4 linked regions of the Bombyx mori genome follow. The protein of the gene in region 2 interacts with the protein of the main gene of each other region in a pairwise test. Links are inferred from orthologs where the notes say so. Each region holds a gene or a part of one and is shown on either strand. Other genes may lie near its edges. The genes, in order: mucin-2, disks large 1 tumor suppressor protein, vang-like protein 1 and potassium voltage-gated channel protein Shaker.

What was found.
Region 1: the proteins of disks large 1 tumor suppressor protein (region 2) and mucin-2 interact in a two-hybrid assay, tested with the Drosophila melanogaster proteins (4 studies listed by BioGRID). The link is inferred for Bombyx mori from reciprocal best matches to the Drosophila melanogaster genes dlg1 and gukh.
Region 3: the proteins of disks large 1 tumor suppressor protein (region 2) and vang-like protein 1 interact in a two-hybrid assay, tested with the Drosophila melanogaster proteins (3 studies listed by BioGRID). The link is inferred for Bombyx mori from reciprocal best matches to the Drosophila melanogaster genes dlg1 and Vang.
Region 4: the proteins of disks large 1 tumor suppressor protein (region 2) and potassium voltage-gated channel protein Shaker interact in binary tests that used the Drosophila melanogaster proteins (3 or more experiments, as listed by UniProt). The link is inferred for Bombyx mori from reciprocal best matches to the Drosophila melanogaster genes dlg1 and Sh.

What each region holds. Positions count from the first base shown.
Region 1 is NC_085115.1:5,308,149-5,312,344, reverse strand, and holds the start of mucin-2, read right to left. Parts: upstream 2,802-4,196; 5' UTR 2,473-2,801; coding exon 2,184-2,472; intron 1-2,183.
Region 2 is NC_085118.1:7,810,931-7,814,500, forward strand, and holds part of disks large 1 tumor suppressor protein, read right to left. Parts: intron 2,531-3,570; coding exon 2,462-2,530; intron 389-2,461; coding exon 239-388; intron 1-238. UniProt on the Drosophila melanogaster protein: During embryonic development, some isoforms are essential for proper neuronal differentiation and organization. Required for cell polarity; maintenance of apicobasal polarity.
Region 3 is NC_085129.1:14,699,862-14,704,178, reverse strand, and holds the start of vang-like protein 1, read left to right. Parts: upstream 1-1,491; 5' UTR 1,492-2,293; coding exon 2,294-2,379; intron 2,380-3,349; coding exon 3,350-4,317. Other genes in the region: uncharacterized protein LOC101743234, read right to left, coding at 1-610, 989-1,463.
Region 4 is NC_085107.1:19,179,443-19,183,012, forward strand, and holds part of potassium voltage-gated channel protein Shaker, read left to right. Parts: intron 1-611; coding exon 612-773; intron 774-888; coding exon 889-1,532; intron 1,533-2,493; coding exon of another isoform or gene 2,494-2,623; intron 2,624-2,719; coding exon 2,720-2,849; intron 2,850-3,570.

The sequences.
Region 1 (4,196 bases), on a different chromosome or scaffold from region 2:
CCAGCCGTACTAATAAGAACAAATTAAAAACTGCTGGGTTTTTCCGTTTCTACGTCAGAACCAGCGATTCGTGTAATGTAATCAAGTACCAAATAGCGAAAATTAAATCTATATATATAAAAATGAATTGCTGTTCGTTAGTCTCGCTAAAACTCGAGAACGGCTGGACCGATTTGGCTAATTTTGGTCTTGAATTATTTGTGGAAGTCCAGAGAAGGTTTAAAAGGTAGATAAATATGAAAATACTCGGAATTAAATAAAAAAAATACAATTTTGTTTTTCCTTTTAAGTGTGCTCCGTCGGACGGATTCCTTTTGTTTAAGTTTATTTTATACAAAAGTTTAGGTCTTTTATTTATCGGTTGAGGCACTACGAAGGCTGCCGGGTCAGCTAGTAAGTGAATATAACTAGAATTACAGAACGTTCAAGAATGTTCATAGCGAGTGGGTTTATGAATAGCGTGTGTTCTGTAAATAAAAATAAAAAAAAACGAATCGCAGTATTCAAGTGTTAAATACTTGAGCGGTCGGAATCACAAGCCGGCGCTTGATCACTGGATGGTTCGAAATTATCTCGAAACGTTTTTATGGTTCGCATTGGAATCCGGGAGGTGTTTTTTTTTTTCTATCACGGGCCGTTCGAACTCCAAAACAGGTTTTAGATAGAGCTCGGTAATGCATTACAATGCGTCATGCGTTTTTTGTAAGAGCGGCAGATTCAACTTCTCTGAGGTACATAGTAATGGAATGATAATAAGTTGTAATTCAAGGTTTATTTAAAAAAAAAATAGATTGGTAGACAAGTGGTCGTCAGAGTCCAGGCGCGAATCATAAATGAAAGATGCATGAAAAATGAGATCTAAGTTTCGAATTTAGTAATTTTCCTCCCTTAAACTTGCGCTCAGAATGAAACTGGATCTTGGTACCGACCTGAGCAGACACAATAAATTCTACCAATTATTTACAATAAAGAGTTCCGTTTCATTTCTATTTCGAAAAGCCGCCGTAAAATTGTTGTAAGACTTTTCGAGAATATTCTAACTTTAATCTATACAATATTTTACGTTATACCAATTTGTAACTGTATAACATTATTTTATACTTTTATATATATTTAATTATTAAATACTCGTGGAATAATGTGGATGCTTTTGTTTGTTTACTAATGCAATCACATAGAATGCATTCTTATTTTAAATTCTGAATCCTAATAATAATAACATCACGACTTCAGGATACAATCTCTTTACAAAACATATTATGTCAAATGCAGAAATAAACATAATTTCTTTCTAAAATTATAATTATTATGATTTACCTACGTCCTTGAAGTTAGTTACCTGTTATTATATCGTAATTCGCATCGTACTAGATTCTTGATCTAATTCGATATAACAATGATTAATGTGTTATTGGCAATGGTTATCTCAGAGCGAATAAATTTGCCTAACTTTATTCAGAGAACCGGCAATCAGGTTTATGTCTTCATTAAACGAGACCTTTTTGGGTTATCAGTAATATTCCAAATTTTGGATATAAACCTAAATATTTTAAGATACGTACTTTGATACGTACTTTACTTATTTTGATGTTTGTTCTGGTATATAATACCTACTAATTGTAGGAAGAACTATTCAAGAGTTTTTCTAGTAATAGATGGGGGAAGCAGCTACCAGATATAAGTTAATGGTAACCAGTGATGGTTGATATTAACTATCTATAATTATCACCTTAATACTGTATTAATACCTTATTATTAATGACGGAAAAAATTGATGGAGCTCTTGAAAATATTTGGTACATTCAAGAGTTTTTATAAGCTTCTAGTAGTAGATGAGGGAAGCAGCTGCCAGACATTGTTAATGGTAACCGGTGATGGTTGATATTAACTAGGTATCTATCATTATCACCATAATACCTTATTATTAATGACGGAAACATTTGATGGATCTCTTGAAAATATTTGGTACAATGTCGTAGTTTAAGTCTGTTTGGCTACTTACGATTGTCGCTGTCCACTTCATACCAGTTGGGATTTAAGCTCGTCTGCCCACCTACTATTGTAATAGTAATTTGCCGCCTTTCTAAGCGGAATATATGTGATGTCGTAAGAAACTGGTGATTTACGCTGATGGCTGATTTAAATTCGACTCAAGATTGTAATACGTAAGGTTTAGTACTTACGGACTGGCACTTTCTTCGGGTCAAAGTTAATGACCACTTCGTTGATTTTTTCGATCTTCGTCTGTGCCGCCTTAGACCGTATTGTTATCTCTTGCAGCTGCTCTGTTAGCTCGCTGAATATATCCTCGGCAAGAAGCACGAGCGAGGCGAGCTGTCTGAGCGCATTCGTCAAAGTGCAGTTAGTTACAGCTTGTAATTCTTCATCGGCAATTTTTGGCTTTCCATTTTCGTCTCGCAAACTTGTCCGTGACAAATACTTAGGTTCGACCGCACGTGGCACGAAAGGCATCTCGATATTAGTTCCGAAATATTCATTCACCCATTCCCGCACTGCGAATTAAATGTAATTCCCACATCCATTCAACACATTATCACAAAAAACGTCAGGTAACCGCCACTTTGAATTAACCGACATCCTGACCGGTGAACTTTCACTAAAACCCTTGTTTTTGCTAAGACATGCAGTTCAGGTTACGTATTAGTTGATGAGAAAATATTTTAACTCAGATAATAAGTTCAGAAAAGTTTCAAAGAAACTTCTTGTTTACGAAATCCCGCCATTATCATAGCAACACGCACCACACTCCCTACTCAATGCTGTCTGCAGAATGAATGGAATCGAATGGAACAAAATGTTCACAACGAATTGTGATACCAGCACTAAGAATAGCATATATAGCGAAACTTCCAATGATTTTTATCAGCTGTAGTCTTACCCAATTTAATCTAAATTATGATATTAGATTACAATTAATCAACCCATCTGAACTGGTTTTGAGTGGTTACCGAAACCCACAGACACCACTATATGAAAACTACCGTTTACTATGAGACATGAGGTCAGAAGTCTTATTTGTTTTACAAAAAAGTTATATACAGAGCTTACACATTAAAATTCTAACGAGTTTAGGATAACGGCTTCGCGGCAAAACTAGACTTTTTATTCCTTATACAGCTTTATTATATCTATATGACCTATCACTAGTAACTTGGTTGATAGACAGGGCGTATTGCAACCTTTATTGATAATAAAAATGGATAACGAGCTATCTGGATCTAGGCAGAATACAACGTTCATTTAATAAACGAAATGCAATTTTATTCATTTCAAACTTCGTGGACCTGCAACAGGGATGAAATAAAATCCTGCGTTCAACCTGGTTTCGAGAACGATTGTAATAAACGGGATAAAATAAAGATCGAAATATATTATGTTAAATTTACACTTTTATGCCAATTGGTTTTTCGTTGGTTTTTATTCAAAGTATTAACGATTTGTAGAACCAATTTTCGGATTAGTTTACTTGGAAAAACTGTAATAAAGAGAAGCAAACTAGCTTCCCTTGTCCGTTGTTCTTCATGTCTTTTTTGTAGTTAAATTAATTTAAATTATATTATTTTTCGTAAATTCGACAATAGTTAAAATTAACCATGTTTTAAATATTTCTTTTTTAACATAGCAACATTATTTATTTTTATAAAATTTAATTTAGCGCCATCTAGGAAGACATAGGTGTACTCTAATGCGAAAGTGGCAAACTCATACTTTTTGACCTACCGCTTTAAATTGTTCGTTTGCGGCTCACGAGATGGCACGGGATTTTTATTTCCTGTTTTTCTTCGTGATATTAGATCATAGATGCCGCTGTTTTGCATTTTTAAAAACCATTTTCAATTCCATACTCTAAACTCTAAAGATTCTATCAAGCTTGAAAATGTTTACAAAAATAAAAAATGGACGCCTTGTCGTTTTTGATTTAATTGTAGTGCATCGAGCACATTGGTAATATGAGTATATATTGTAAAAATAAGTACAATTTAGTCTATTCCCAAATTGTACCATAATTATGTAGTCCTGATTTTTTTTCCTCCCTATGCTGATAGCCTTGAGATGCTATTTCAGCTTCTCCTTGACATGTAGGTGAGCTCACGGGGCTCAAACCGGGTGTGATGCTAACACTGACCCTAGCAAGAGCAGTGCTTCGCAGAATCTACCACCAGATCGGAAACGCG
Region 2 (3,570 bases):
TAAGAAAAAATTCTTCTTCTTCACAATCTTTGTTTAATGTCTATAGTACACCGCAACATACCTGCTATATTTTTATATTTTCCAAAATTTCTGTAAATTAAATGGTTGTCTGGAAGAGATCGCTTTTAGCGATAAGACCGCCTATTGTACAAATGTATCTGCTTTTTGACTGTTTTTTGAATGTGAATTGTGTTTGGTGTGCAATAAAGTGTATTCTCTCTCTCTTTATATTACTCACGAGGCACGCAGCTTCCAAACTTGTCAGGGAACTCGGAAATGAGGTCGTCGTTTATTCTATCTTTCAATGGGCCCAATATTATCACGGGCCGAGTGTACGCGATCGTCAATTGCTGAACTGTTTCGTAAGACAACACCGTCTCGTCTTGACCTGTAAACATTCACGCGCAGTACACATCAGTTTTAATCACATTTAACGTGTAATCATTACGTGGTATCACTAAAGTAGTCATTACGTGGCATCACTAAACTGTTCCCTTGAAACCAACCAGGAATTATTTGTAGATTTCAATTTCGTGCTACCCGTGTTGTATGTAGCAAATCCGTGCCATACCCGTGCCATACAAATTTATATATATTTTTTTTCTACATCAAAAACCATTTCAAATGATTATGGTTATTCACAGAGATCAGCGTATCACAGCGATATTTGTTTGATATATATATATAATATAAATGTGTATTTATAGTTATGAAAATTATTCTATGATATAATTTCATCTATTCAATGGAAACTACCTAAATTATTAAATATTTCGTTTTACTGGTATCTAGTTCACAAGCATTCTCTAGACTAACTCGAATGGTTTCACTACAAACTTATTTCGTACAATATGTATTGTATTGAGAGAGAAAAAAAAACACTTCACGAAAAACCTTATTTGGCAAAGCAATAACTTTTGCTATTCATTTAGAAACTGATTTAAAATCATTTATAAGTACATGCTTTTTCGTAAAATCGTAAAACGTAATTTAGAACATTGTCATATTGAAGCCAGAAATATAAAAGAAGAAATATTTATGTAACAATTTTCTACGATACTTTAAGTTCGACAATTAAATCCATTCATCATTACAGTGGTCTGGCTTGAATACAAAAATCAATGTAATCAATGTAATTCAATAAAAAATAATTAAACACATTAAAAAGCAATGTAGTATGTCATATATCACAGCTGAAGACGAACATAAAGTAACATAAGGCTTTGAAAAAATTTACAGCGTCCCCTATTACGTTTTGAAGCGACAAAAAACTAAATCTATAAATAAACCAGCAGAGCGTATTTGACAAACTGTAAACAAAGCTCGCATGAGAATGTCGCGTCTCGCGTACCGTGACTCGTAACTAGTGAGCGACATGCGTGCGTGGAGTGAGCATGCGCGTGACGCGCCAAGCTAAGGTCTGTGTGCTTAGTGAGAGTTCTTTAACGCCCTCGATAGCGTAACAGTTAATTTGAATTTGTATGGAGTTGGAACGTTTGCCTACGTTTGCCGCTAGGGGCGCTGTTCCGAACTGCATACAAATTTGAGTTAACTTTACGCTATCGAGAACGTTAAAAAACTCGCACTAAGCACACTGTTCAATCGGAACGCACAACCGAACGTATTGTGTCGTGTCGGACTATATTCATTATGCGAAAGCGTCTTGTAATCGATTCCGTCATCGCATATCGTCTTTTCGCATTAAAAGTGTACAATTTCCAAAAATATTCGAAATTGAGTTAATATGCGGAATCATTTGGTATCACCAGTATTTTTCTCATAAATACTATCAAAAGAGCGTAGTTTAGTTTTAGTTTTTTTTTTTAGTTTACTTATGTATTGACTGCTATTAACAAAATTAATAAATAATTTTATCTTACTTTAAAAGACAGATAACTTAACTGGTAAAAAATAAGAAATAAATGTTGCAAAGATGATTAATATTAAAAATATCACATGTTACACCTTTAAAACACTCTCCTGTAAAATTAGTTAGTTTTGAGATTATACAGTTTTAATGCGAGAAGACGATAACGTCAGCGATGAGTGACGTTTTCGCACAATCGGGCGTCAGATACCGCACAACGCTGCGTTGTGCGTTCCGACGGACAAAGCTAAGCACGACGCGTGTAGCGTGTCCCCGTGTGCTTCCAGTGGCCCGCGCGCTGCCCGCTCACTCAGACCGAGCCTGCGCCCCCCTAACACCATTCTAATGATCCAAACAATCTCGTGAGCACGATGGTCAGAGTTTCGAGTGCGGAGAGGCTATTAGATATAATCGCGTTTTATGAAATCAAAAAAAGGTAAAACAACTGAACGAAAGAAATGTCAAATAAACAAAATAAAATTGGAGTGTTATTTGAATGAAAACTACATTTCTAATTGATGATCATAACCAGAATGCGGGAGGTAAGGTATCGGCTACTGCACTCGCAAGCTACGCCTCACTCCCAAAACTTACTCTCGTCCTCGAGATATATGAGCGTTATCTCCTCCATCATGGGAAGTTCCACTCGATACAAGATTTCTCCTATACGTACAAAAATTAATGTTACATATACTTCAAACATGTACGTACACCGTTTTACGGAGGGGGGGGGGGGGGGGGGGGGCGAACCGGAAGAAAAAAAATACTACGGAGCCACAGACTCGCTCTAATTGTCCGAAACATCTCGATTCGAAAATATATTTATACAGAATCGTGAATAGCGCCCAATAAAATAAATAGCAACTCAAAATACGTTTGTCGAATGAGTGATTGAAGTCGTGTCCGTATCGGTATCGGGTTAGGCAACTAGAAGCACGGGACTGAGGCCGGACGAGTCTCAAACCAACCCGCGTGCTCGCTGCGACCCGTTCGTAATGCCGACATTAACTACGTGTTCAACATCCATTATATTCACTGAGCTCTTCCCAAGCAAACCGTGTTCACACGAATTTTCGGAATCTGACACGATTTTTTTAACACAACCAATTAAAAATGGCATCATTACATATATTTTTTTAATTATTTCTTCGCTATAACTACAATATAAACATACCGAATTAAATGTTTATCAGTAGCTTGGGAATTCCGAAAACTTATTATTAACATCGGATACTTTCGAATGAATCAAAAGTACAAGACCGACCGCATGGGAAGAGCTCTTTGTAAAATACAAAAACTAACTAAAACACAGATAATTAATTAGCCGCCGGGCCGTTGTCAGAAAACAACGACAAGCGACAAAGTTACGGCGGGAAATGAAAAACATTGCCAAGATTTCTTTTTTTTTTTTTTTGTTAGGCGACACCATGCTCTTCCACGAATACTACAAAGCAACAGTTTACTCACACTTATCCGGTACGGTTTAAGAATACCGAGTATTGTAAATAGTACCTACACGCTGAATCGTTTCGATAAACCAAAAATAATAATAATTTTATTTAACATTAGCCATAATAATATAATTGTGAGTTGTACGAAGAGTTAAATGTAAATTAATTGAAATAAAATAAGAAAATACATTTGACTAAAACAGTTCGTCTTTTAAGACTCAATCGTTGTTAGGTAAAGCATAGCTTTAATGT
Region 3 (4,317 bases), on a different chromosome or scaffold from region 2:
TCTAGTGATCCAAAGTTACTTGAGAACCTGTTCGAGTTTCCAAAGTCGGAAGAGAATCGATTCGTATTGCCACCTTCAACCACGCTAGTGAAATCTGAAGAAAATCGTGCTTGATTAATATTTTCTCTATGTTGGATGACAGGATCGATGATTTCTTTAGCGTTTTTATTTGATTTGAATACAACAACATCTGTACCGTCGTCCTCTTGCGCATTGCTAGGTAATGGCTCGTTATTAATCGAACTGTTATTCGTTTGTCTTGACTGTTGCCTCTCATTCGAAACACGAGCTTGATTAGAAAATATAACTTCATCTTCGTCTTCAACTGCCTCTCTTAGCATATTGTAAGTGTGTCGGATAACTTTCTCGATGTAAATAGGACGAGTGTATGAGGCCAAAAACAGACAGTTTTGCATCACAATAGCACCGTAGATCATGACTACAATGTCGCCAGTGTATACCGTGCAAAGATAGCCGACTAGTATTGGTATCAAGCAATTTCCTACTGAAGGAGCCATCCGGACTATCCTCTGAGCCATGGTCAGTTTTTCCCTGAAGAAGTGTGTTATGATGACCTCTGTTTGCTGACCCGTTAATGCGCAGCCGATACCTGAAAGCACACGAATAACAATTTACAGTCGTTTGTAGATCTCGCAAATGCTTTCCGCACCTGTTTAAATATGACTATTAATCGTACAAAAGATTCGTAGTATGTTTTCAAATAACAGTTGAGTTTTTTCTGATGTGTTATAATTATTATTAAGAACAATGATGCGAATTCCGACTAAAATGAATGAGTCCCGACTTATTTACACTAGACTTTACTGACCTAGTGCTATTTTACTAGCGTATAACATTTACGTCAGACCTATAAATCTCGTAATATGCAACAATCATTATTTATATTGATAATTCATCTGTCATAATTCTATATCTATTTTAATTTGTCTATATAGCATGAATATAATATTTTGCATCTGTTATTTACCTGCGAATATGCCAGAGAATATATTCACAATGTGGTCATTGGTTGTGGCATCAGTGGAGTAGCTAGAGAGCAGAATGCCGGCTACCGTCAGGCATAAGCCGGCAAGCGCCATGAACCTCGGCATGTTGAATATCTTCACGATCGCTCGACACCATGACTCCAAGAGTAACCTTATGACAACCATAATTACTGGTACGAGGGCTATGTCTACGTCCCATATTTTCAACAATTCTTCTTTTTCATGGCCCTCTTCTCTGATCGCCTTCAATATGATTAATCCGTACAATGTTAACACTGCAGGCACTGTTATGTGGTAAATCACCGCAGATACAACTATCAACCAACCGTAACCACCGTCAGGTGGCGTTGGTCCAATTTCTGGCTGTGAAGCGACAACCCTGTCCAGATGTAAATCTTCTGTCCGGTTTTCGACCCTGTCGGTCTGTCTGGCGTCGGTAAGAGTTGGATTTTCCATTTTTCTAAATGTGTACAAACAAAAACTTCATGTTCAAACTAGTGAGTAGTCAATGAGTTATCTATAAGGTATGGGTTCGTTATCTTATCATTTATCATTTTGCGTAATCACCTGTGCTACATTTTTGAAATCAGTGCCAAAATATCACAATAAAATAAATGCCTAAGGCTCATAAAAAATATAATTGATCAGTAAGGCTCTGTACTTATTAAAAAATCGAAAGGTATAAATAATTTTACATGCAAATGTGATAAATTTGATTTAAACTAAATTAAATTTATTGACTTGAAGAGAAAAAGTAATAAACATTTCAATTATAATTAAGTGCAAATATTGGTTTTCGAATGCACCCACAAAAAATATACGGCTATGTTTAAAAGTCTTACAGAGGTTATGAATAAAAGAGATAGATGTCAGAAAATATTAGTGTTAACATGGAATAGCCCGACCGCAACTTCAAACACGATTTAACCTATATTATACCTACTCTTTTAATTTCGTAGTTTCGAACGGCAAAAATCTCTTTGACTGGAACACAGAAAGTAATTTTGTAGGTTTTTTTTTAATTTTAGTAAATTCATTGCAATGTAAACATAGTTTTTGTAGTGTTGGATTTATTAAATACGTTCACTATTCCTCATTTAATAAATAAAATATGTAAAATGCTTGAATTTTAATATGTACTGAAAAACAAATATTTGTGGACACGGTTCCGTGTTAAAGTTAAAACCTATTAATTATAAGCTGGAATTTGTCTGTAATGGGTCTTCGAGTTAAGATATATAATGAGTAATGGATGAGGTAGAGAAATACAAACTGCTGTTTGAGACATGGAGACAGAATCGGTGAGGTCCGAGTTGAGCAGCCGATCCCGGCGCAGCTCCAGACATAGGCACAACACGCACCGAAGCACCAGGTGAGTTTGTAATTATGTCATTCAATTTGTTGGATGGTCAAATTTGAGGGGACGGGGTTCTGAAGGTGGGCTATTTAAAAACACTCTGCTTCATGATTAATATATATTACAAACACTTTGTACACTATCACACCATTATAATATTTTATTTTTATAAAAACCTAAGATGTTGCACTGTCTGTCTCTAGATGAGAAGTCCTAGTCATGGCTGAACAGAAGACAATCATCTGTTTTAAACATTTAAATAAGCATTTCAACACTCGGAAACTTTTACTTCACATGTTACAAGTGTTGCCTGCCATTATGCCAAACTCCAACACAATTTAATTATGCTGTATGTCTTCTCACTGTAATCACTATTATTGTGAATGTTATTGATGATAACTTGATGGTCACCCATATATGGACTATTCTTGTTATTACCGATCTCCATGAGCGATGGTAACCACTCTCGACCATGGTAGAAAAAAGTTTAAATTTCAATGAGTCTATAAGCATGTAGACATTACATTATTTAGAAATTAATTTTGAAATTAAAGTTTCAATTTAATTTTATCACAGAAACTTAACAAAAACTAAACTAGGTATCTCCTAATATACAAATAGACACACATTATCTTACAAAACTTACTATTTGTAAACTTATTGTAGTCATTTAGTGTTAATATTTACTAAAACTGTCTGAGGTCCATTAACAAATGATGGAACCACTATTGAAAAATCATAAAAAAAACTAAATCACTGTATGAAGCTTTGTTTCAAAGTAGGTACTTATATTTTCATTGTAAGCTCCATTGTCTAAGAGGAAATATCAAACAAGTAATCTGTTAGCTTTGTTGCCCATCTCTGTTAAAAATATATATTGCATCCCGACATTTCGATGCATTAAATATTACTGAAGTTAATAAATATGAATTAATCATAATATATCACAAATATGTGCATAGAAATAAATTGCTCATCTTTTTAGGAGTACAAAATCACAACGGAAAGAAAGCGGTGACAACATAATGGCACCATTTCAAACAAGTGTCAACATAAACCCTGAAACAGGTAGAGATGGCCAGGAGGTAATAGAAGTTCAGATTCTCCCACAAGATGAGAACTGGGGAGAAAATACAACTGCTGTAACTGGCAACACATCTGAAGGTTCTCAATCTATGGAAGATGTCAGTAATTGGGCTATGGAGTCAGATGGTGGATTAGGTTTTGTCTGCTCAAGATACTTTGGGACAACTTTGGCTTTGGGATTGACATTTGTGGCCTTCATCAGTCCACTAACAATGGTAGTTTTACCAAAAATAGGTTTCTTTCCGGGACTGAGTGATAACATCTTGCAACCCAGTCAACAAATGGAGTTGCTAGCCTGCACAGCGGAATGCAAAGGTGTTCTTTTGTCACTGGCATTTAAACTTGTATTATTAGCTATAGGAGTATGGGCAGCATTCCTTAGGCCACGGAATGCCATTTTACCAAGAATATTTGTTTTTCGAGCTGTAACTCTAGTGATGATAGCAGTATGCACATTTTCTTACTGGCTCTTCTACATTGTTCAGATAACGGAGGCAACTAAAGCAATAGCATTAGGTGAAGATGCAACAGATTACAAAGCTCTTGTTACATATGTATCGAGTTTTGCAGATACATTGCTTTTCATACATTATGTAGCAGTAATCTTGATAGAAATAAGACATTTAGAGCCGAATTATTATATTAAAATCGTCAGAAGTCCTGATGGAGAGAGTAGATCATATGCAATAGGCCAATTAAGCATCCAAAGAGCTGCCGTATGGGTATTACAGAGATATTATACCGAGTTTCCGATATATAACCCATATCTGGAGAAGATACCAATATCGAAGAGTCAGAGAAAGGCACAATCCAGTATTAAATTTTATGATGTCGATGGATCTAACACAAATGCGGCAGGACAAACAA
Region 4 (3,570 bases), on a different chromosome or scaffold from region 2:
TCTCAAGGTGGGTGGCACATTTACGTTGTAGATATCTATGGGCTCCAGTAACCACTCGACACCAGGTGGGCTATGAGTTCGTCCACCCATCTAAGCAATATATAAAAAAAATGAAAATTTCAAAATCAGAAACCTAAGATCCGTTGGAGAACCGGTTTCTCAGTTGCAGTGAGGTAGAATTGATCACTACAACATAGTGAATTTAGGGCTGCTTTTATATCAAGATTTCTTAGATGTTATTTACCTTACAATTACCATCAAATCAATTTGCTTTGCTTAGATGGGTAGACGAGCTCACTGCCCACCCGATGTTAAATGTTTACCGGAGCCCATAGACATCTACAATGAAAATACCGCCACATAGTTTGCGATATAAGTTCTAAGGTCTCAGTATAGTTATAAGGGCTGCCTCATCCTTCAAACCGAAACGCATTCTGCTTCACGGCATACAAATACACAGGATGGTGGTACCTACTCGTGCGAACCTACCAGAGGTCCTATCACCAGTAAAGTGAGTTTTAAGGTCTCACTTTTAACAGTACAATTACAATTTTAACAGTACAGCTTAATTAATTTAAATAAAATAAGCTAATAATAAATAAATGGTACAGGAACGAGTACTTCTTCGACCGGAACCGACCGTCTTTCGACGCCATCCTCTACTATTACCAAAGCGGAGGACGACTCCGTCGCCCGGTAAACGTCCCCTTGGACGTCTTTTCTGAAGAGATCAAGTTCTACGAACTGGGAGAGCAGGCCACCAACAAGTTCCGGTAAGATGATTTAGTTAAATTAGAAAATTATACAAAATTAAAGTTTCAAAATACATACTTACTTATTCGTATAAGGAAGGTCGGTGAGTGGATAAAGATAATCGTTATCTTACAGTGAGGATGAAGGTTTCATCAAGGAGGAAGAGAAGCCCCTTCCCTCCAACGAACGCCAGCGCAAAATCTGGCTGCTCTTCGAATACCCCGAGAGCTCCCAGGCCGCGCGCGTCGTTGCCATCATCTCGGTCTTCGTCATCCTCCTCTCCATCGTCATCTTCTGCCTGGAGACCCTTCCTGAATTCAAACACTACAAAGTCTTCAATACAACGACCAACGGCACGAAGATTGAGGAGGACGAGGTCCCGGATATCACCGATCCATTCTTCCTTATTGAAACACTCTGCATCATCTGGTTCACCTTCGAATTGATCGTGCGGTTCTTGGCGTGTCCCAACAAATTCAACTTCTTCAGAGACGTCATGAACATCATTGATATAATCGCCATTATCCCGTACTTCATCACCCTGGCGACCGTCGTTGCCGAGGAGGAAGACACTTTGAACCTACCGCGAGCTCCCGTATCTCCGCAAGATAAGTCCACCAACCAAGCCATGAGCCTGGCTATTCTGCGGGTAATCCGTCTCGTGCGGGTGTTCCGGATCTTCAAACTGTCCCGCCACTCGAAGGGATTGCAGATTCTTGGCAGGACGCTCAAGGCGTCCATGCGAGAACTTGGCCTGCTGATCTTCTTCCTGTTCATCGGTAAGGCACGAAATAGAATAGACACCGTACCAGTCATGTTCATACATTTTTAAATTACTCGAAACTTACCCCAAGTTTTTTAAGGATCCTTTTTGTGCAGACGTCAAGACGACATCAAGAATCACCCAAATCTAATAACGAAATTGATAATTTAAAAAATTCAACAAACTAAAAAATATTTCAAGATTTCAGTTTGTAAGACATAAAAAAAACTTGAAAGAAATCTCTCGAAGAGCGATTTATTATTAAAATACTAGTAGCACATATTATATTAACCCTATACTCTAAATTTTGCAATTCTGAATTTTATACTAGAGAAATTATGTCGACTATAAAAAAATATACACATGATTGATTACGTGTCATAATTTCGGCTTTAATCTTTTACTTTCTTTGCCTAATACTAAATCAGATGCAGACAAAAAATAAAATAGGGCGTGGGGTAAATAAATAGGGTACTTAGTAAATACTATATTACAGGATTTTGCAAGACTCGATGGGGTAGAGTAATAGTAAATATAGCGACTCGAAGTAGTCAGTTTTTTTAGTTAATAAGCTAATGTATATGATAACTCATATACATATTATGTATATGGGGACGGGCCTCATTAACATGATAATGACCTGAAAAACCTTATATGAGGTATTTTAGTGCGAAATTCGTTCCGAATTTATATAGACGCATTTTAATGAAACTAATTTAAAAGCTTAAAAGTCAAATTTAAATGACTCGATAGCCTTAGTATTAGCAAGGTTCGGTAGTCAGAAACCAAGGGTTAAATAAACATGGTTTTTTTTTTGTTTTTTTTTGTACATTACCATTTAATTTTTCTTCTAAAGCATATAATAAGAATGCAAAACACAAGAAGCTCGTGGAGTACTCGGTACAACGGATGGCATCGGAGAGCGCGCACGCACCGGGCCCAACCCACATAGTGCACATTCCGTCTTGTGTTCGCAGGGGTGGTCGTGTTCTCGAGTGCAGTTTTCTTTGCTGATAAAGAATGTGTAGAGACCAATTTTTCATCAATTCCCGATGCGTTCTGGTGGGCCGTTATAACGATGACCACCGTTGGCTATGGAGACATGAGGTAACCCCGTTGACTCAAGGCCCCGCCAGCTCGCAAGCGCTCCCCCTCACTGTATGTCGCACTGTATTCTCCGTTCGTGTGTGCTTGTTCTTAAAGGTGTGGTGCTGTTTTCGTCTGCGGTGTACTTCGCTGAAGCCGGAAGCGAGAACAGCTTCTTCAAATCCATACCTGATGCGTTTTGGTGGGCGGTCGTGACAATGACGACCGTAGGATACGGAGACATGACGTATGAAACAGCGACTACACCCTAAGTTTCATTTTTGCCTCTCGTCATTTCATTTTGTCCCACAACCTTATATTGGCATACTTAACACTATTGTTGATTTTCTTTCGCCACATCATGTAACTATACATTCGCTTCAGTTTGAGTTAATTGTCGGTTCGCTTAGAACTTAACCGATCACGTTAATTTATTTATTTCACTCTATACAAGTTAATGCACGTTCTGAGATTTTTCCTTACTGTCTCAATTGAATTTCGAATTTATTTATCTATATCATTATTCTCCACGTCGTCTGAACAAGTTTTACATGGAAGCGTATTTGTAAAATTCTCATCGGAATAATACAGTGAGCGCAGTTAGCGCAACAGATCTCGTCGCCGGTGTGACTATCGCCTCTTCCAAAGCGTATTTTAAGCCCGTATCCACTTAACCTAACCGCTTTCGTTGCGAGCACTTCACCTCTGAGAAAGTCTGGCTGCTCCCAACCTGCGCAGCTTGAATCCGAAGCGGCATCTATATACCACCACCACCACCACCGATGTTCGCTCCACAATAACGCTTACGCTATATTGTCAATGTATCCTAAATGTTTGAATGTATGCATCGATGTTGTGGCGCCTACACTGATCGACATAAGCTCATCGAAAATGGTGGCAAGAGCCGGCCGCACTGTTGTCATCATCGCATTTGTACTGTAGTGGATCTCATCGTGTTATTGTAACGC